Struthio camelus: one gene and its partners. The protein of the gene in region 1 interacts with the protein of each later gene in a pairwise test. Links are inferred from orthologs where the notes say so. Each region holds a gene or a part of one and is shown on either strand. Other genes may lie near its edges. The genes, in order: CREB1, TSSK4 and CRTC1.

Evidence for each region.
Region 2: the proteins of CREB1 (region 1) and TSSK4 interact in binary tests that used the Homo sapiens proteins (3 or more experiments, as listed by UniProt). The link is inferred for Struthio camelus from reciprocal best matches to the Homo sapiens genes CREB1 and TSSK4.
Region 3: the proteins of CREB1 (region 1) and CRTC1 interact in binary tests that used the Homo sapiens proteins (3 or more experiments, as listed by UniProt). The link is inferred for Struthio camelus from reciprocal best matches to the Homo sapiens genes CREB1 and CRTC1.

Annotation. Positions count from the first base shown.
Region 1 is NC_090947.1:9,437,869-9,444,975, forward strand, and holds the start of CREB1 (cyclic AMP-responsive element-binding protein 1), read left to right. Parts: upstream 1-2,206; 5' UTR 2,207-2,594; intron 2,595-7,107.
Region 2 is NC_090944.1:147,920,147-147,927,253, reverse strand, and holds TSSK4 (testis-specific serine/threonine-protein kinase 4), read left to right. Parts: upstream 1-3,039; coding exon 3,040-3,243; intron 3,244-3,493; coding exon 3,494-3,708; intron 3,709-4,163; coding exon 4,164-4,536; intron 4,537-4,848; coding exon 4,849-4,989; 3' UTR 4,990-5,058; downstream 5,059-7,107. Other genes in the region: PPP2R5D (serine/threonine-protein phosphatase 2A 56 kDa regulatory subunit delta isoform), read right to left, coding at 1,467-1,550, 2,288-2,314. UniProt on the Homo sapiens protein: Serine/threonine kinase which is involved in male germ cell development and in mature sperm function. May be involved in the Cre/Creb signaling pathway. Phosphorylates CREB1 on 'Ser-133' in vitro and can stimulate Cre/Creb pathway in cells.
Region 3 is NC_090967.1:5,979,463-5,986,569, forward strand, and holds the start of CRTC1 (CREB-regulated transcription coactivator 1), read left to right. Parts: upstream 1-1,940; 5' UTR 1,941-2,011; coding exon 2,012-2,137; intron 2,138-7,107. UniProt on the Homo sapiens protein: Transcriptional coactivator for CREB1 which activates transcription through both consensus and variant cAMP response element (CRE) sites.

The DNA of each region.
Region 1 (7,107 bases):
CTCAGCAAGAACAAGACTAGATTCACGTGGGCAACACTGTCTTTTGATGTGGTGTAAGTGGCGGGCTCTGCAGGGCCCACCTGGGCGGGTTATTGCCGTGCAGCGGCGTCTTGCGATAACGGCAGGCAGCCCTGGAGGAACGCGCCAACGACCCGGTGGTTGAAATGAACGGCATCTGGAGCTTCAAATCTTGTCATGCAGTGCCATCTCGAGGTTTCCTGGAACAAAATGGACTTTCTTCAAAACTACACGTAGTTTTTAATTGGTCCTACGAGCTCCAGATCTGCCCGTCTGCCCGCCGGAGATGTCCCCACTGCACGGGCACAGGGAGCTGCTCTCCCTCTGGCCGCAACCAAACGGGACCAACCAAAGCGGTGCCAGATAGCACGTGCCCTGCCCCGAGGTGTCCCCCCACCCCATGCCCCATGCCCCATGCGGGACCATCAGAGGAAAAGCCCAGCGAGAGCAGCTGGATGGTTTCCCTGCTGCGTCCCGGAGAGACCGTGGAGGCCACCAGAGCACGGAGGTCACCAGTGCGTGGAGGCCACCAGAGCGTGCAGGCCACTAGAGTGTGGAGGGCACTAGAGCGTGGAGGGTGCCAGGCTGGGCCCCACGAAGTCAGAGCCAGGCCGGGTGCCTCTCCCCGTCCCCACACCCCATCACTTGGGGGTCCCCGTCCTGGTGAAATCTATCTCTCTAGGAAGGGCGATGAAGCGCAGACGTGGCACCGGCAGGAGTGGACCCTCGCCTGGGAAGGGGCTGCTCTGAAGATCACGATTTGCGGCTCTGTCGCCTGGCTGGGCAGACAGCGTTCGTCCTTCTCGTGGCAGTTGGGGAAGGTTGGTTATGTGGATGGCGGCCAGGGAGGGTTGGTTACATGGAGCTCGGGGACTTCATGGCAGTGTTGGTGTTATGGTGGTGGGAGTGTTGCCCCGCGCCTGTGAGCTGCGGCGGCACCACCTGCTCGTGGGGCCGCCCCGGCTGGCCACGGCGCCAGAGCGAGCTGCAAGGCAGCCGCAAGGACAAGCTGGAAGAGCCAGGCTTGGAGGAGCAGCCTGAGGGACACATATGGGCATTTTGCCACGTTGAGAGGGCATGGGGAGGCCGGGCTGGGTGGAGGCCAGGCGGAGGCCATGGAGCGTTGAGGAGGGGTGAGAGGAGCCCATGCAACGCCAGGGCAGCAAGGAGGCCTCAGGATGGCACCACGTCCGCGATGTTGTGTGCAGAGCACATCCACCATGTCGTGCTTGTGGAGACTGTGTGCACCAGGTTGTTCCGGCAGACACCACGTCTGCCATGTCGTGTGCAGAGCATGTCTGCCATGTCGCGCTTGTGGAGACTACGTGTGCCAGGTCGTGCCTGCGGACATCACGTCCGCCATGTTGTGCGGAGAGCACGTCCGCCATGTCGTGCTTGTGGAGACCACGTCTGCCAGGTCATGCTGGCGGACACCACGTCTGCCATGTTGTGCGGAGAACGTGTCCGCCATGTCGTGCTTGTGGAGACCACGTCTGCCAGGTCATGCTGGCGGACACCACGTCCGCCATGTTGTGCGGAGAACGCGTCCGCCATGTCGTGCTTGTGGAGACCACGTCTGCCAGGTCGTGCTGGCGGACACCACGTCCACCATGTTGTGCGGAGAACGCGTCCGCCATGTCGTGCCTGTGGAGACCACGTCTGCCAGGTCGTGCTGGCGGACACCACGTCCGCCATGTTGTGCGGAGAACGCGTCCGCCATGTCGTGCCTGTGGAGACCACGTCTGCCAGGTCGTGCTGGCGGACACCACGTCCGCCATGTTGTGCGGAGAACGCGTCCGCCATGTCGTGCCTGTGGAGACCACGTCTGCCAGGTCATGCTGGCGGACACCACGTCCGCCATGTCGTGCTTGTGGAGACGATGTCTGCCACCTCGTGCTTGTGGAGACCATGAGGGGCGGCTGGAAGCCTTCCGGAAGGTGAGAACCGGGGACGGGGGGGCCCGCTGGGGCTGAGTTTTGGGAGGTTTGGGACAGCGCCACAGAGCAGCAGCTGGGCTGCCGGGGAGGCGACGAGCGCCCCTCTCCCGACGCGCGGGGCGGCGGTCGGGGTGTGCTGGGGGGGCCTCGCCCCTTCCACCGCGCCCGCGGAGGACGGAGGGGAGCGGCGGGAGCCCTCACCCCCCCTCCCCGCCGCGGCCCCGCTCGGCGCTTCCCGCGCGGGCTGCCGCGGGCGGAAGCGGCGTTCGCGCCTTCCGCGGCCGCTCGGCTCTTTCCGCCTCCCCGGCGGGGCGCTTCGTTCGTTTCCGCGGCCGCTCGGCTCTTTCCGCGGGGGCCGGCGGCGCGCTCGGCCGTTCCCGCCGCCCGCCGCGCGCTCGGCGGTTTCCGTGAGCGCTCGGCGGTTTCCGTGCGGGGCCGCGGCGCTCTCGGCGCTTGCTCCCTGGCTGGCGCTCCTCAGTCGGCCGCTGCCTGCCTGTCGCCGGGCTGGGAGCGCCTGTGTGTGTGTGAGTGACGCGGCGGAGGTGTAGTTTGACGCGGTGTGTTACGTGGGGGAGAGAATAAAACTGCGGCGAGATCCTAGGCGCGAACGAAAGCAGTGACGGAGCAGCCTGGTAACCGGTAAGAGGAGGAAGGCGCCCAGCAAACAGGGGCGGGGGGGAGGGAAGGAAATGGAGCCCGGCGGGGACCAGGGGGAGCCGCCGGGCGGCAGGACGCGGGGGCCCGGCCTTGCAGCGCCAGCGGGAGGGGCGCCCGCTTTAAAGATGGAGCCGAGCCCTGCAACATCCCCGCCGCCGCCGCGCCGCGAACAAAGGATAATGGCGGATGGGAGCCGGCCCCGGCGGCGGCGGCGGCCGCCACGGCCAGGCGGCGGCGGCGGCGACTCTGGCGGCAGCCAGCGGCGGCGCTCAGCGCGGCGGGGAGAGGGGGATCGCGCCCCCCGGCCCCGAGGAGGAGGAGGAGGAGGAGGAAGACGACGAGGGGGGAGAGAGGAGGAGGAGACGGCCGCGGCGGTGCCGCCGGCGGCGGCGGCTGCACACCCACCCTCTCCCCCCTCCGCGGCGGGGTGGCGGCCCCTGTCCCCCCCCCCCCAACCACCACCACACCGCCTCCACACAACTCCTCACGGGTCGTCTTCTTTATTCTTTTTTTTTTTTTAATTTTATTTTAATTCTTGTTTTCGCCTGGCTGTGGCCGGCGCAGGGCGAGCGCGGCCTCCTCGGCGGCTCGCTGCCGGCCGCCAGCCCTGGCCGGGGCCGCCTCGGCCGCCCACCCGCCCCCGCTGCCCCTTCTTTTTCCCCAGAGTTTCACTACCCGGCGACCTGAGCGTGCTGTGTCAATAAACAAACTCCTGCGATTAAAAACAAATCAAAAACAAAAAAGAAAACACCCCTCCCACCGCCACCACCACCACCGACAACAAAACACGCGGGGTGCTCCTAGGCGCTGTAACGTGCTCTCTTAGGCTCTGTAACAAGAAGTTTTTAATAAAAACCGTGCACTGAAGTTTGGGCCGGCATCTGACTTGGTGGTTTACTTTCATTGGAAGTGTCGGGGGCATGATCGTATGCGGAGGGCTGTAAAACCGGCGAACTTACTCGGTCACCCAACACCGCCTGCCGTTAAAATATAGGAGGGAAGATCTTTAAGGCTGACGCTCAGATCGCATAACCAAGATACGGTTCCTTTTTGCAGCGTGTTTCTTTCCTGTTAGTATTTTTAACTGAAAGTGAACTTGAGCCTGGCGGTGACCGGTTAATCTCAGTTTGGGGTTTGCTCTTGCCAGTTTTGCACAGACTCCTCAGCGCTGCACAAATGAGCAGGCTTTGACCTCTATCAGTGCTTTAATAGCAAATGTCAGCTAAACTGTCCTTGCCACGTTCCACCAGTCCTACCTTGCCTTTGACTGCTGCGCTGGGGGGCTTTCCCTCCCCGCCCCTTTATTGTCTAGCATAGAAGATACTGTTTTGACCTTATTTACTCTTGCAAAGCCTGGATTTCTGCATCTTTGTGCACAGTAATAAGTGAAAATGCTCTGGCAATCTCTCTTAAAAACGTATTTTTAACTAAAATTTTTTATGCCTGTCAAAAGTATATGCAAGGATTAAAAAAAATATGGGTCATGTGGCTTTTTCTTCCAAAAACACTTTTTTGGGTTTTTTTTTTCCCCTCCCCTCAAGAACTAGTTTCCTAACTCTTAAATAAAAGGCTAGAAACTTATTTGAAAATACTGAATATCTCTTTTCAATTCCAGTGTAACCACCAAGCATTATATTTTGAAATACTAGAGCTCCTGAAGTTCTGCTTCTCCCTTTCCCTGTGTCATCAAACGTAGGTTTTTACTCTAAAAGGTGAAGTTCCGGAAATGCCTTCTTTTATTCAAGATGGGCATGTGCGATTTGTGTAAGTGTCTAGATAGGCCTGTCCTTTCTCGCATGTGGAATTTGTTCTCTGTCGTTTCCACCACTTCTGTTGAAAAGAAAGCCAAGGTGTTCTACATCGCTTCACTCTGAAAAATACCAACGTGAGAAGAGGGTTTCTAAAGTTGCAATTGATTAATAGACATCTGTGGACTTCAGTGAGCAATGTAGCCATTGATAGTGATTAAACAGAACATAGTGTTTGGTGTAATTCATTCATTTTTGGTTTGATGGACTATTCACTTCATTTTAAATACAAAAATGTGACAGTAAACCTTTGCATGTCGTTATTTTGTAGCTTTAGAAACATAACATTTTGTTTATCCCCAAACCATTCTATTTCATGATAGAGCGCAGGACTCTCACATCAACATATTCTAACTCTTTCCCTGCGTTTCCCTGTAAACTTTGTATCCTCACTGACAGGAGAGAAAAGAGAGCAGGAAGGTAATGGTGTATTTGTCAAGCATAGCTTATGGGTGACCTAAAAAGAAATACTGTTTGGATGTAGGAAAGTAGAGTATAATAATTCTTCACGTTTTTTTAAATTTCATTGGTGGAACGACCAGTAATATTTGGCGTTCAGATTAGTACTCTCAGCTTTTGTATCCAAGTCTGGAATAAGTGGTCTGCATCTGATCTGTATTAAATACCCATTGTTTTCCCATATTTTTTGGAAAGGAAAGTGTAAGGGTGCCTACTACCCCAGGGGAGAGGAAAGGTCTGAAAGGAGAGAAAGGTCTGTTGATCCAAAAAATTCAGAAACAACTAATTTAGACTGTCAAGTCATCAGTCTATCTGCTTCCTGGAAACTTAACACCAGTGCAGCTATTGCTGGTACTGGTATCAAATATAAAATATTCTGTGGTACCTTATCTTAATCGGGAAAGTAGCTGTTCTGCTGCAGTAAGAAGTAAACAGCCTCTTCTTGCATAGCTTCAGCTACAGCTCTCGAGGTGCAAATTTTGGTAGTAGACAAGGCCCTGCCTAGGAATTTCTGTTGACACCCGTGTGAAACAAACGGGATATTCACACTTCACCTCTATTTTAGGATCTCTGTGAGCAAGTGGAGATCAGTTACTCATGCCTCACTTCTCAAGGCTTTTTTGCAGTGAGAAGGCCTAGCTAGCTTTCTGCCTGTAATTTAAAGTTATTTTCATGGAAAATGACAGTAATCCTCATCAACAAAAACAGCCCTCCTGGGCTTGGTTTGAGCTCTCCGGTGCCCTCTCTGCATACGGTTGAAGTTCCGTGACCATTCAGTGAAGTTTTTTTCTCTAAATCAAAAATTATGTTGCCTCATCTGCAGTCTATGTGGTCACGTTTCATGGTGATTATGAAAATCTGAGCGCTCTCAGCGGTTAGTGATTTTCTTTTCACTTCTCCCAGCTGTTAAGTTGTTCATACCTACTTTATTCTTAAGCTTTTAGACCACTTGATTGTACCACAAGTAAAAAAGTGAGTGAGAGTAAGCGCTGCACCTTCTGTTGTTGCACGTTTATAGAACAGTCTTGTGAGCTGTGGAGAAGGTGAAGACGTGCTTGGGTCTAGTAGCTCTTTTAGGAATGCTAGGTAAAGCAGCAGCTGGAAGCAGACGAGAAGCAGACAAGGATTTCCACATTTCATGCTGCTGCTGTTTTTTCTGGCGGTGCTGGATTTAGAGTATCCTGTGAGGAGCAGAGGAAAAAGAAAACAGCAGATGCTGGAAGAGCCTCTTAAGGGGAGAGGGTAAAGAACTTGGAGGAAGTTTATGTGTGTCTATATGTGTGTGTACACACATATATATGTATGTATGTATACACACACACACACATACATTTATGTATATATTTACATGTGTTTAAAATAGCATTAGATACAGGTTAGGTACGCTCAGTGATTTTGAGCAGACTGCCTAGGTAGAGCGTTTCTTTCACGCCTTAAGATGATAAGCATACCTACTTTTCTGACAAGAGTAGCGTGAGATTTGCTATTTGTCGTAAATCTGAGACCGTCAGGTGGAAGATGGAGTTCCAAAGATAGGAGAGTCCTGTCAATTGCTGTTCTGGACTTCATTACTTGTCAATTTAATCTCTGAGATAGGCCAGCACTAGCTGCTTCAGACAAAGCTGCAGGAAGTCTCGTAGTGAACTATTTTAAAGCTATCTCCATGCAGAAAGTTGAAACATAAATACCTATCTCTGACGTTTCCATACTCGTCCTTCCCTTCCCTCCCTCCCCCCAAACAAGTGGTTTGTGAAAATCTCTCTCTGATCCTCTCTGTGTTATTCCAGTGGTAGCTTGGTTGGTTGATGAGGTTTTTATTACTTTATTACTTTTTCCTATTTAGAACAGCTGTAAAGCTGGGTCCTGTGTTCCTCTTGCAAAGAAAAAACTTCAGATAGCTTTTGAAACGTAGAAAAGAGCAGGATCTTTCCTTGAGAAGAGGCTGACTTGAGGAATAAAAGCTGCATGGTATGGTAGCCCAAGAAAACCAGGAATTCCTGAAGCATGCTTACTGACTGACCGATTGAAACTGGTTCCACATACATTTTTTTGACAGTATTATGGGCTTAAGCAACCTCCACGTCTGGCCATTTGTTCATGTCTTCTCTATTGCACTGGCACAAATGTTTCGGGCCACTGCTTGTAAAGCTGACTGGAATGATCCAGCGGGGTGAGGAGCAGGGAGCTTATTTTTCACCTGGCTCGTTCCCTTCCCAGGTTGCTGCATG
Region 2 (7,107 bases), on another chromosome or scaffold:
GCCTGCTCTGCTTTGATGGCTGTCCGTCACCCTTGTGTTGCGAGACCCAGGCTTACCTTCTTCTTCCCAGAACTGTGAACTCAGCAGACAAAGAGTGCTAAATAAATAGGAGGTAAGCCCGACCCTGTGAGGCAAAGCAGGAGTTCCCTCACTTCCTCAGAGCCAGCGGACAGCCCTCCAGCAAGCAGTTCTCAGCTGTACACACAGAATAAAACGGGCAGAGGCCCAGACTAGGACAGGGTATAGTAACAGAATCTACAAAACTGCCCCTCGCTCCAAGGCAAACAAACTCAGCTTCTGACTCTTCTGGCTACACAGCAGGTTAGGCATGAGCACAGCTTAGAGCTTGAAATGGAGTGGCTAGTAGTAGGGATGTTATCTCAGACTCTGCAACATGCTTTCAAGGAGACCGTAGGACAACCTTACTTTGACTACAGCTGTCCAATTGAACTACAGATTTCTCCCTAGTCTTCATCAGCCTTACACATCTCCTGTCTCTGGTTCTCCCAATCAGAACATGTTCCAAGCACGTCTTGAGCACACAGGCTTCTACGGATGTAAAGTGGCACAGCTTGTTTGCCAAATTGCGGTATTTAAAAAAAAAAAAAAAAAGGCGCTTCCTTGGACATACATACGGCACTGTGCTGAAGCCAAGTCTCAGAATCCAAAACCACACCATTTAAATGCTAGATAAACTCAAAGACTACCAGAAAAGCTCTGGTTCACCCAAATTTCTACCAACTTTAGCAGAGCTAATCACAGTCTCACTTTCTGTTGAAGCAGCCCTGACGCAGGTAGCTTGGCAGCATCAAAACTGAGATCAGAAGGGTGTCTCTGTGCAGGTGGGAATGCAGACCCTCCCTTTTTGTGAGCAATGCTGTGCTCGGCAACAGGAAGGCTGTGATAACACAGGAGAACTGTTTCCTATCTAGTAGTTTACTCCTATTCTCTCAGATGCTGAACCAATTATTCCCTAGCCCCACTCCCCCAGAAAACGCCTCAAAAGAACAAGCTCCGTTTTCCTTGCTTCTCACCTCTTTCCTGCTCTGCCACAACAGAACAACAGTTTACCCTGCTTTGCTCTGACAGGAGCATGGAAGCTGCTCCAGTCCATCAGGCTTCTTCCTTCTCGATAAGGGCAGCTCTTCACTCTCTGCAGCCAACTTTACCACGCTCTGCCCAGCTCTATGAGCAGTGCTTGCCTTTTAGCATTGTGCCAAGTCTCTTTTTTGCAGGACTGTAGGGCACCCAAGTCATTCTGTCTCTTCCATTGCCATCATTCCCCTTGGACCAACTAACTTCATCTTAACTTTAACCTTTGCTACCATCTTGTCTGCGATTCCATAAAACCCTGGTGAGATAGCTCATCTGACAGATCAGCTTGAAGTAGGTGAAGCGAAGGAGGTTATTTTTCCTCAAAGATGAGTTGCACATGCATGCTGCTGCATCCAAAGTGAAATCCTTACCTCTTCTGAATTCTCTGCCCCACCATCCTTTCCGCTACTGCCACTGCCAGGCTTTGCAGTGCTTTTTGCAGACTTTGGAGACTCCTGGAACGATGAAAACGCGCTTAGAGAACGCTTCACCTTGCACAGCAATTTCCACCTCTCCGGGCATCGCTTCGCTTTGCTCCGTCACAGACCTCCCCCCACCGCCTCCGCAGTAAGTCGTGTTTTGTGCAGTAACTCCTCAAAAGGGCCCCCAGAGCCGCTTCCCTCCCTCGCCGCATCCGCCTTTGCCTCGCTGGGGGAACGAGCGGGAGCCGGGCCCGGCCCGCCCGGGGGGGGGGCGGCCAGCCGCCGTGCAAACCGAGCGCAGGCCAGCGCTACGCACGGTTATGCAACAGCAACCTGCTCCCGGTACCCCGGCGCCAGCGGGCACCGGGCACAGGCCCGGGCCTCCGCTCGCCGGGGCGGCCCCGGGACTGGGGCAGGGCCGAGGCCGCGGCCCGCCGCCCCCGCGCAGGGCCCGGGACGCCGGTAAGGCCCCCGCGCCGCCCGGGGCCAGGCCCGCACCGGCGGGGGGGAGGGGGGGGGGAACCGGGGCCTCCGCGCGCGCGCGCCCCCGCCGCCCTCCTGCACCAGCCGCCCCGCCCGCCCGCCCCGCGGCGCGCGCCCCCGCCCCCTGCCGGCCGCAGCCCCGCGCGCGCCCCCGCCCAACGGCCGCGCTGAGGGAAGGCCGCGGGCGGCAGAGGGAGGGAGGGAGGGAGCGGGCGGGCGCGCCGCAGCCCCCGGCCGGCCTCAGGGCGGCGAGCCGCCGCCGCCGCCCCTCCCTGCCGCCGCCGCACCTTCTCCTTCTTGAGCTTGTAGGGCATGGTGAGCGCCGGGGCCCGGCCCGGCCCAGCCGCGCCGCGCCGCTCCCGCCGCCGCCGCCGCCGCCGCCTGCGCCCGGGCCCGGCCGCAGCGCCCCGCTCCCATTGGGCGCACCGCGCATGCCTGCCCAGCAACTACCGCCGCCGCCGCCGCTCATTGGGCGGCGGCAGGTTTTTTTTTTCTCATTGGCCGTCAGGCGCCGGGGCGGGCCGAGCGGCGGCGCCGCGCATTGGGCGGCGGCGGCGGCGGCGGCCACGCCCCCACCGCGGGGAGGGGGCGGGGCACGGCGGGGCTCCCCGTCGGGGTCCGGCTGCGGCCCTCGCCCCCCGCCAACGCCGCCTCCCCCTCCCCCTCTCGGGGGGTCTCGCGCTGGCTCCTGCTGCCCGAATTGCCCTGCGGTCTCTCTGGCCGGCGGTCACGAATTAAGCCCCTGCCCCAATTAACAGCCCCGCGGGGCTCAGAGCGCCCCCAAAACCAACCGCCCCCCCCCATCTACCATCTCCACAGCAGCCGGGGGGGGGGGGAACTTGGGGGTTGTGATGTCACCAGTGGGGGGAATCCCCAAGGTTGTGACGTCACCAAGGGGGGGAACCCCCAGGGCTGTAGGCGGAGGGGAGCAGCTGGAAGGAGGAGAAGGGGGCTGGGAGGGCACAGCAGTTGGGGGGCTGGTTCCCGCCGGGGGGGCCCCGAGGCCCTGCTCCACCCGGCAGGTTCGCTGCCTGCGGGCATGGCCGAGGCGGCCCCCCTTGCCACCCCGGCAGTGCTGCAGCAGTTCAGCTACCAACTGGAGCAGATGCTGGGCCACAGCACCTACGGGAAGGTGTACAAGGCTGTGGCCCGCCGGCAGCAGGCCCGGGTTGCCATCAAAGTCATCTCCAAAAGAAAGGCACCGGAGGAATATCTCCGAGAGCTCCTGCCCCATCACATCCAGGCAGGGGGGACGGGAGAGCATTGGGGAGCAGGGGGGATTGGAGAGGCATTGGAGAGAGCCAGTAGGGTAGGGGGGCTCAGGGGCATTGTCAGGTGCCATGGGACAAGGTGGGCCTTGGGGGGGCATCCAGGAGCTACATGGGGCCAGGGGCACTGGGTGCAGGAGATGCAGCATTTTGCGGGGGCAGCGGCAATCCAAGGGGGGCTCTCCGGGGCAGACCTGCCCCCCGCTAGCCCCTCCCTGCCTGCAGGTATTGAAGGGGCTGCACCACAAGCATCTCATCACCCTCTACCAGGCCATCGAGACCACGGCGCGGTACTACATCATCATGGAGCTGGCACCGTTGGGGAACGTCCTTCAGCGGGTGCAGAGCCAGGGGCCCTGCCCCGAGCACCTGGCGGGACACTGGTTCTCCCAGCTGGTCCTCTGCCTGGCCTACCTCCACAGCAGGGCCATCGTCCACCGGTGGGCAAGCACCGGGGCAACAGGGTCCCCGCTGCGGCGCCGGGGGGAGGGCCCCCTCTGTCTCCTACCTACTGCCTGTCTGCTCCCGCACCACCCTCTGCCCCATAGCCCACACCTGCCTCCCACACCTCCGTTTGCTCCGAAACCCCCATATCCGCCCTGTTGACCCCACGCCACCCATATCTGACCTCCACAGCCTGTCTGCCCCACACTTCCCCCACCTGCCCCACAGCCCCCTTATCTGCCCCCACACCACCTATCTGACCCCCAACTGCCCCCAAACTTCCCTATCTGCCCCACAGCTCATCTCTGTGTCCCCTACTTGCCCTACGCACCCTGATTCTGACCTCCAAAGCCTCTGTTTGCCCCCACGCCTACCTAACCCACTGCACCCTTATCTGCTCTCCACACTGTCCTCTGCCCCATAGACACCCCCCACCCCGCGTTTCCCCTAGGGACCTGAAGCTGGAGAACCTCCTCCTGGACTGCCAGGACAACGTGAAGATCTCCATCTTCGGCTTCCCCCGGAAGGTGGCCCTGGAGGAGGCCAACGGGGAGTCCCTGGGGGCTTCCACCTCTGGGGGGGTGCCCGCTGGGGGGGTGCTGAGCCAGACCTTCTGTGGATCGTACGCCTACGCCTGCCCCAGGATCCTGCAGGCGCAGGCCTACGACCCCTTCCTGGCGGACACCTGGAGCGCTGGCGTCATCCTCTACGCCTTGCTCCTGGGCCGCCTGCCCTTCGACGACACCAACCTGCGGCGCCTCCTGCAGCAGATCCAGCAGCCTCTCGTCTTCCCCTCGTGGCAGCCCCTGCCCCAGGACTGCAAGGTGGGGCTGGGGGGTGGCCGGGTGCACCAAGGGGCATTAGAGGGCGCGTGGGGGCAGCAGCAGATGGGGGGCAGCTCTGCAGCGCAGAGGGGAGCTGGGGGCCTGGGGGGGCTTCGAGGGCCATCTGGAGGGTACTGGAGGGGCGCCGTGGGGGCAGTAGGGGAGCTAGAGGGCCTTGAGGCGCGCCGGCGGCCGGAGGGCAGCCGGGGGACACCCGGAGGCAGCGGGGGCCCGGGGGTCTCCCAGCTGACGGGGGCCCCTCCAGGCCTCGGGAGAGGCCGCGGGGCCCTCCCCCACTGCCGTGTCCCCCAGGACGTGATCCTGCGCCTGCTGTGCCCGGCCTCGCAGCGCCTCTCGGCCCGGCAGCTCCTGCAGACCCCCTGGGTCTCTCGCTTCCTGCCCCCGGCCCCCCCGGGCGACCTGCCCTCTGCCACAGAGGCCCCTCAGACATAACCCTCCAGCCGCAGTTTTGGGGACCCCCCCCCCGCTTCGGAAGACCTCTAATAAAAGCCTTGAGCCCTCCTTCGGCTCCCTTCTTCCTTGGGGACACCCCTGTAAGGGGGGGCCCTGCAAGAGGCGCCCTCCCCGTTTACTGTGGGCGCCCCCGAGCCCTGCGCAACGGGGGCCCCTTTTCCGGTGACCCCCCCTCCACAGGATGGTTTAGCCCTCCCCTCCCCCCGCATCGGGCAGTGGTCCAGCCCGACCCGCTCCCCCTCCCGCGGGCGATGGTCCAGCCCCGCCGCCGCTGACTTCGCCCGAGAGCGCCAACCCCCCCCCCACCCCGGGGACGTGACGGCCCTTAAAAGGGCCACGCGCAGCTGGGCGGGGCCCCGGGATTCTCTTAAGGGGGGAACGTCCCCCTTCGGCTCCCAGATGGCGCCAAGGGGGCGGGGCGCCGGGGCGGGGGCGGGGCGCCGGGCCGGGGGGCGGGGCCAGGGCGGCCCGCGGCCCCCACGCGCGGCGCTGGGTCTCGCGCGCGCTCGCGGCTGCCCGCTGTGCGGCGCCGAGAGCTGCGGCCCCGCTTGCAGCGCCGCGGCCGCTGTTTCAGCCTTGCCTCTGCAGATCCTTAGCGGCCGGCCGCCGACTCCTGGTCGGCCCCAGACCGCAGGGCGCCTTAGGGCGCCGCGAGGATTCGTTCCCCTTACCGTCGGCGCTTTGACGGCGAGCGCTTGTCTCGGGTGCTCCAAGGCCACGCCGACACGGAAGAACGGCCAGCTGGCCTTCGGTTGTCCCTCTCGCCGCTGTGCGTGCTCCTTGGGGCGCGTGGGCCGGCCTGCTGAGCGCTTGGGCCTCCCTCGCTGGTTCGGCATCGCTCTTCTGCGCGCAGCTTTGGGAAGAAAATACCCGTTCCAGAGGAAACGTTATTTCGTGTTGATAGGTTACACAGGTATTTTGGCATTCGTTTTTAACAGGTTGCTCAGAAACTACGCAGCAGTTCTACCACAAAGCTAAATAAATCGAAATTGTAAATTAAGTACCTAAATTAATGTAAGTCCTATAATGGTTTTATCTTTGCTGATTTTATAATCAGTTGCGCAAAGTAGCTCAAGAAGCCTGAATGCTAGGTAAGAGCACAGAGCTACCATTTCAGAAGACCAGAAAACTCGGAAGAGCGCTACTGGTATCCCTAAAGCAGCACCAAATTTCCAGATGAGAAGCTGCGTTTCGACAGCAAGGGAATGGGGTTTCTTGCTGCTTGACCAGAAACTTTACAAAAGAGGAAAAAAAAACCACTAGTATTTTTAATTGAATTTATTGATACAGCATGAGCATCCCTGTCCAACTAATTGCTTACTTTTCCCTCTAAAAGCTTGCTTGGCAGTGAACCGCTTCCCAGCCTTACCTGAGGTCCAGTGAAATGTTGTCCTTGCCCTTGGTGGAACCATTTTTTCCCTTTCCTTGACAGCATGAGGTACTCGTGTCTCTGACCCACTTCAATTTTCTCCTCTAACTCCTTCTTTCAAATGGAGTTCACACCTTGAAAGAGAAATTGGTTACAAACAGAAAACGCAGACAACAAGCAGCTGTATTTGATAATCTCCTTCTACATGGAAACTGATGCCAACGCCAGCTGTATTGTTTGCTAGCCTCAGGGTCATAATATGTGAACCCTTTAATTGTACACATCTCTGCAAGCCAGTATAACTGATTTATGATCAGTTGTGCATCTGACGGGTGTCTGATTCATGTGTATAAATCGATCTAACCTGCAGTTTTCCTTCACTAATGCTGAAAAAGTCAGCATCCTCATTTATTCTCTTCAAACCTGATTTCTTGTAAAGGCATACACCTGTGTAGGCATGAGCAGTTGTGAACTGTGAATTACACAAGAAAAAAACGCTAAGAAGTGATAACGCTGTGATTTTGTAAAAGTCGAAAGTGAAAAAGTGTGTTGGGGGCAGGCAGCCTGCAAAACGGAGGAACTACTTTCCCTTTGATCACTGTGCTTCGAGTTTATTTTTAATGAATTCTTATTTGGACCCAGCCAGTGAACTCAAACCCTGGGAGACATTTCCCCTGCTTGGAGAATGGATTTAGGTGCCTTGCAGTAATAAACTCCCTCTCTACCCC
Region 3 (7,107 bases), on another chromosome or scaffold:
CGGGTATGGCTGATCCTGCAAGGGGGTGGCCTAGATGATCTTTCACGTCTCAGCTGTGCTTTCTGCGATGGTATCTCTTATCACTTTATAAACACTTTACATGCAAATTGGCAACTAGGATTTAGGGTAGGATGCGACTTTGTTGCTAGCACTAGTCCTGACAGTTGGTGCTGCGCTGAGTTTCATCCATCCATCTTCCAACAGCCTTGCAGTGGTGGATAATTATAATCTCTTAGGTGGGCAGGAAATGCTTATAAATGACTGGTAAACTGACTAAAACAAGGCCACTGAGGTGATCAGTAGTAGAAGAGAGAGCAGAGTCTAATTTCTTTATCTGACAGTTCAACCATTAGAGGATTCAGTTACTGGAGTAAGCACTGTTCAGGGGCAGAGTCATCACTGAAAAAGAAGAGCTCCCGCTTTACCTCTGTTGCTTCATAAAAAAAGAAAGTGTAAAGGCCAGTGCGTGGGTGTTGGGAAACAGTACTGTCAGGATTTATTAGTGTCTAATGTGTGTGGCTTGCATATCACAGTGCTTTGCACCAATCTGATGCGAACACAGCTGGAATCGGTGGCTTAGCAGCCTAAGCTTGTGTTTTGAAATGTCTGCGCTCCCTGGAACTGCCCGCACGCATCCCGGCAGGGTCATCGCTGCCTGTCGTCCTGTCCTTACACCAGATATACCGCGTCCCACACATTGCCGGCTCTGTCGTCCAAGGTCCTGACCGCTCGGGGTGGAAATTCAAGGCTCTGGTGCCCTGGCTCCACGTCCTGGTAGAGCTGTGTGTGCAGAATAGCACGGGAGAGGGGCAGATGCAGGTGCAAGCGGGAGGAGCGGCACACGCTTGGAGGACTTTTGCCAGTGAAAGCGTGCTTGCACGGGAAGAATGCAACGTTTTGCTCTGTGTCGTTTACAACAGCACTGTGGTAGCATCTTCTTGCTACTGGACATCGCACTGAAACGTCCTAGGGAAACAGAAGCCTTTTCTGATTCCCAAACCTTTGCCAGGAACCCACTTCCTTAGTATCTTGCGACTAAATTTCTGCTGTACATACATCACTTTTCTTACAGCTTCACATGTCTTCTGTTGCACGAAGAGGCAGCGACCAGAGAGCAGGAACTGTTGCTTAAGAGACTCGCTCATTAATTCTCGTTCTCCTCTCCTTTTCCTTCTCTACTGCTCCGTCTGAGCGCTGGCAGGCGGCTGAGCAGGAGCTGGGTATCTTTTCCACTCCGTGTCTCAACAGGGGCCTGATGTGTGCGAGCAGCTGAGAGAATAGCTGGTTGCGTCTGAAGAAAAAGCCCACTGAAATAAACCACTGACCTCTCCACAGACAGGAAAAATAAGAGGAAACGGGAAAAGTTGAGATTTTTAACTTGCCGGCTAAAAACTTTAATTTTTTTTTTTTGTTTTAAGAGATTTATTCCCCACTTCAGGGCAGGAGTGTGATAGCCGAGTGCTCGTTGGGGGCGCACACTCACATCACCCCCCCCTCCACTTTTAGCATCACCTTTTCCAGCCAGCTCCGTTACCAGGCTCCCTGCGTTACGCAGAGCACAGAGGGGGGTTTCCCCTACCACGAGCGGGGCGGGGACATTAACGAATATGGGAAATTTCAGGAAAAAGAGGGGACGAAGGTGCCCGGAGCGGCCGCGGGACGCGGGGGCAGCCGGCGGCGAGGCATCACCTCAGGGCGGCCGGCGCGCAACGCGCATGCGCGCCCGCTCCCCGCGCACGTCCACGGGGGAAGCCCCTCTTCCGCGCATGCGCCCCCGCGCCTCTGGCCTCCCCCCCCCGCCTCCCGCTTCCAGCGTCGCCCGCCTCCTCCCGCTCGCGCCGCCGCTGGCCTCGCGCATGCGCCCCGCCGCCGCCTCGCCACCCCCTCCCTCCCGCCCGGCGCCGCCGGCGCGCAGGCGCCTTGCGCACCCCCGCCCGCCCGCCCGGCCTGCCCGCCCGGCGCATGCGCCTCGCCCCCTCCGGCGCGGGGAGGGGGATGCGGACGGGGGAAGATGGCGGCCTCGAACAACCCGCGGAAATTCAGCGAGAAGATCGCGCTGCACAACCAGAAGCAGGCGGAGGAGACGGCGGCCTTCGAGGAGGTCATGAAGGACCTGAGCCTGACCCGCGCCCACAGGGTGAGCGAGCGCCGCCGCCCGCCGCGCCTCCCCCCCCCCCGCCCGCCCGCCCCCGGCGGAGGCGGAGGTGGAGGCGGGCGGGGGAGGGGCGGCGCCCCCCGCGGCTCCCCTCAGCCCCGGGGGCAGCGGCGCGGCGGGCGGGTGGGGGGGCAGCGCCCCCTGGCGGGGGCAGTTGGCGCCCTCCGCCCCGCTCCGCTCCGGGGTGGGGGGCGGCGGGGGCGGCCGGGGCCGAGAGGGGCCGCAGCATCCTCCGCAGAGCGGCACCTGCCGCCGCCCGGCCCGGCCCGCGGCGGGGGGGAAGGTGCCCTCTCCGCTGCCCCCGGGGCAGGCCCCGGTTTTTGAGGCGGCTCCCTGCCCCCCCATCCCACCCGTTTCAGGCCTTGTTTTTTGGGGGGAGAGGAGGGGGCTGTCCCTGCCCCCCCCCCCATTTAAGGCCCTTGTTTTGGGAGGGGTGTCCCTGCTCCCCTATTGCAGGCCCCGGTTTTGAGGGGGGGTTGCCCCTGCTCCCCCGTTGCAGGTCTCGATTTTGAGGGAGGGGTGTCCCTGCTCGCCTATTTTAGGCCCTGATTTTTGAGGGGGGGTTTGCCCTTGCTCCCCTGTTGCAGGCCTTGATTTTTGGGGGGGGTTGCCCTTGCTCCCCTATTGCAGGCCCTGATTTTTGAGGGGGGGGTGTCCCTGCTCCCCTATTGCAGGCCCCGATTTTGGGAGGGGGGGTATCCCTGCTGCCCTGTGGCAGGTGTGGTTCTGGGGGGGCCCCTCTCTCCCGAGGCACGGGCAGGGGAACCCCCTCACTTCTCCGCTGGGAGAAGCCCAGGTCAGGACCCGCTGCCCCAAGGCAGCGTGTGGTGGTGGGGAGCTCCTCTCCCCTGGGACAGACCCAGATTTTGGGGGGGGAAGGGGGGGAGTTCCAGCCTCACTCCTGCCCGTGTCGGGGGCCGCTTCCCTCGGCGCGGCCTGGAGCATCCCCTGCCCTGCCAGTGCAGCGCCCGGCTGAGGTCCCTGCCCCAAGCTGCTTGCAGGTAAACCCACGCCGTCCTGGCTCGGGGGGCGTGCGGGGTGCGGAGAAAGCGCCTGCGGGCGTGCGGGGACGCTGAGGGAGCTGCTGGGCTTAGTGTCACTGCTGTTGTTCCTGTTATACTCCAGTTGTCACCGGTGCAAATTGCTGCACTTCCAAATTGTTCTCGGCTTACAATGTCTCTGCAAACTGCTTCATTAGAGCTTAGTGGTGTAATAAATGCATTTTCCCAAACTTCAGATGCGTTTTCTGGTTTAGGTCTGCGTTTCAGAGCTTTTCTATATGGTTCTTGTCTCACCTGCTTGTGTCAATATTTTTGTTTCTGTTTTAATTGTTTAAAGAAAATTTACAAGCTTGTTTGTGGTTGCATGCTCGCAGGAATGGGAACAAGAGAACAGAGTTGAATTTGCAGTAAAATGTTTCCTTTTATTCCTCTGTGTCAGAATAGGGTAAATATTTGATTTGCATTCATGCTGCTGCTGGTCAGACACAAAACAAAGGCATGCTAATTCTGTCAGTGTGGCTTGGTAAGGTGTAAGGTTGAAGCTTTGTTTGTGCTAAACTGTTGATATTTCACAGAGGATGCTGCCTGTAGTTACTATTACAGTTGAGAGCATGCTGAGAACAATTCAGTGAACGTTTGCAGTTGCTGGACTCTCCTTGTTTCTTGAACCTGTTATACTTGTGTAGCTCAGTACCTCAGGTTTTTAGCCTTTTGATCATCGATCCTTGGATACCACTCAAGAGCTGGATATTTCTAAGGGAGAGAGTTCTTGACATCTGCAATTACAGATTGTCCTTTAATTAACTCTTACTGTTTAGCATTCACCTTCTTCAGGGTGAGGAGGTTCATATGTCAGAATCCTAGTTCAGGTTCTCCCAAGCTGAGCATTCCTAATCTAAGTTTGGCAGATGAAACTCCTCTTATTTTCAGGAACCTGGTATTGAGAAAGGACCCAAGATGAATAAGTTGTCTGAGGATTCTGGGTACTGAAGTGATGGAAATACTGACCAAATAGCTGAATAAAATGTCTCCTTTGTAGACTTTTTCTTCTAAATTCCATGATTTCATCTGTGTTCAAAATGCAGTATAAAAGCAAAAAGGGGTTAAGCACAACTTTGCTCTCATTTTCATTTGGCAACCAACACTTTGCTGTCAGTTTGAAAATGCGTTACTCAGTTTGTGGAAGCAGCCCAAAATTTCTGTTGCCTTTTCATTATTAGTAATTGTCTTTTTGCAATGTTTACCATCTTGTCTGTTTTATTGTTAGTTACTGGTCATAGCAGCGGCAGAGAACTACTGTTCCACCATTTCTTGTGCATACACATGTTTTTGAGCTTTCTTTCTGACTTGGTAGTCTTCCACCTATTTATGTTGTTCAGTCCATCTGAGATTTTTAAGTTATGATGCATCTTTCTTGCCTGGTATAAAGCAGAGCGTGATATTAACTCCTCTTTTCTCTATTACCCTCACCATACTCATGGAAAAAAATTTCCCTTGAAAATTAGATCACTTTGATTTCAGAGATGTTCTCCTGAGTCCCATCTTTCAGCCGGCAAATTCAAGAATGCATTTTAGGTTTTCTGGGGGAGACAGAGCTTGGAAAGAGTCTGGGTGGCTGATAGAAGCACTGGATCTGGCTAATTGTCTTGTGAGCGGGACCTTGATGTTTATAATCCAGAGGTTTCTGGGAGTCCCATAGTGACAAAGTAGCTGAAAAGAGGAGGAGTTCTTTTCTCTGTGACATTGACTCCTATATTGTGCTTATGGGCCTGCTCCTTTCCGTTGTTGTTTAAAGCACGAACTTCTGGAACATCTTCTTGTGCTGATTTCTGTTTCAAGAATGGGTTGTTTACCAGGGCCTGCTCTCAGCAGAGCCCAGTGATGCTTGCTACATTGCATGTTATTTCCTTACGCAAGGCTGTAGCTCCCTCTAAAATTGTATTTAACAAAACACTAACATACAAGATAGCACAAATAGTGTTGAGTAACCACAAATGGCTCCTCAAATGCTAGAGAGTTCAAGATTTTAAAAAAAACTTGGGCACAGCTTGTGACCTGCATTTTTAAGGTGATTCTTATCCAGTTAGAAATGCTCTCAAGACTCCAGTTTTTCTTTTATATATTGTTAAAGTCACTTGGTTTTGAGGGATTTGAGCCAGAGCTGTGTTTGAGCTCCCTCTTATGGACTTTGCAGATTTACCTAAGAGAAAGACCCCCCCTCCTTCCTCAAGCCCCTGACCCTGAAACACCTGAGCCCCCAGTTACCCCCCACCCCCAAACTGGCTGGAGAGCTGTGCTGCTGTTGGTGATGGCTGGAACGTAGAGGGGGAGGGAAACAAATCAGGTTAATGGTAATGTTTGGAAATATTCTGCAAAATTCCAGCACTGCTTGTATAATCTTCTCATGTATGCGAAGCCCCCACGCAGGCAACTTGTGGAAGGTGTTTCGGTGAGCCTTCCTACTCATAACAGCACTCCTCTTAAGAGGACCTCTAAGAAGGTATATTCCTCCTTGACACACAATGTGGTTTTTGTGTTTCAAAGTACATATTCAATGCCCTGTCAGTCTACGTGGTGCTGCCTGACAGTGTTTGCCTGCATCTTTTAGGTGTTATCAAAAGTTGTGTATGCCTGTGTTGCTTTTTCAATTTATTGAAATCTATGTTGAGTAAAAAGTCAGCGTTCATATTTTAAACCTGAATATGAAGATCCAATTTTAGTTTAATTTTTTCAAGATTAAATGGAATATACTATAAAAGCATAGCTATCCATATATAGCCATTTAACTGAAGTGAAATTAAATGAAAATCAAGTGAAAAAATTCATAGTTTGTACTCATATGCGTATTATATATGTGTGTGTATATATATATGCGCACAGGCACACGTCTCTTCGGAATTTGTACTTATGAGTGAAACAATTGCTCTGCTTTTGTATTTGTTTCTATCTGCTGCAGAATGTCTCTTTGTACGTTCACAGATCATACAGTTAAATGTAGATACTATGCAAAACAGTATTTAAAAGCTTAGTTAAATCAGGAATGCTAATCTGTACTTTAAAAAATGATAAATATTAATGATACAGTGTCGCAATGATTCCTAATGTATTCAGAATTTTACTAAATAATTTGATTTAAAAAAAACTCCTGAGTAGGTAATAGTATTTTTGTATGCCTAAAAGATATTAAAGAAATGCATCAAAATCGGGACTGCTCTGCAAGCATGGAGGTTAATACTTTCCACTGGAAGTAGTTTTATTCAAGTCAATAGTATTGTGAGTTTCTCCAAAATGGAAATATTAATGTTGACTTCTAGCTCTATACAGTTTTGTGTTTGTTTTTGTTGTTTCTTTCTCAAATGCAGGGTTTGGACCCTGTATTTGCACGTTTTCAGGCTAAGAAATAGGTCGCTTAAGTTTTGCCCATAATCTTCCCCTAAATAAACTGATGAAGTGGGACACAGAACGAGGCCTTGACGCTGTGGTTGACTCTTTGTGGATTGCCCCTGCTCTTCTCTGTTGCCCTCCTGAAGTCGGTTAGCTTCCATGCAGGCAAAGATGTTATCCATGTTGCAGCGTCTATACTGCTGGCTGCGGGCGTGTTTGTTCTTTTGATACACACGGGTATAAGGCAAGTAATTGAACTGAATGTACTGAAATAATGGCGCTGTGTCATTAATTCTTTGAAAGAATTATTGTAAATCAGACAGTGAAATGTAAAGATGAACTGCCCACAAGGGCACAAAGAAGCTCTGTTCTCTTGCAACCCTCTGCTTTCCTTAACTTGTCTGAGCTGTCCAAGGTAAACAGCACAAGTCGACTTTTGATATGCCATGCTAGAGAAATGTGCGTGCTTTATTTAGCAGTGTAATATTTCTTCTTGTAAACTGACTCAGGTTTTGCGTTTTTTTTATTATTATTTCGAGGAGCGAATGACTTTTTTCATTATTCCAT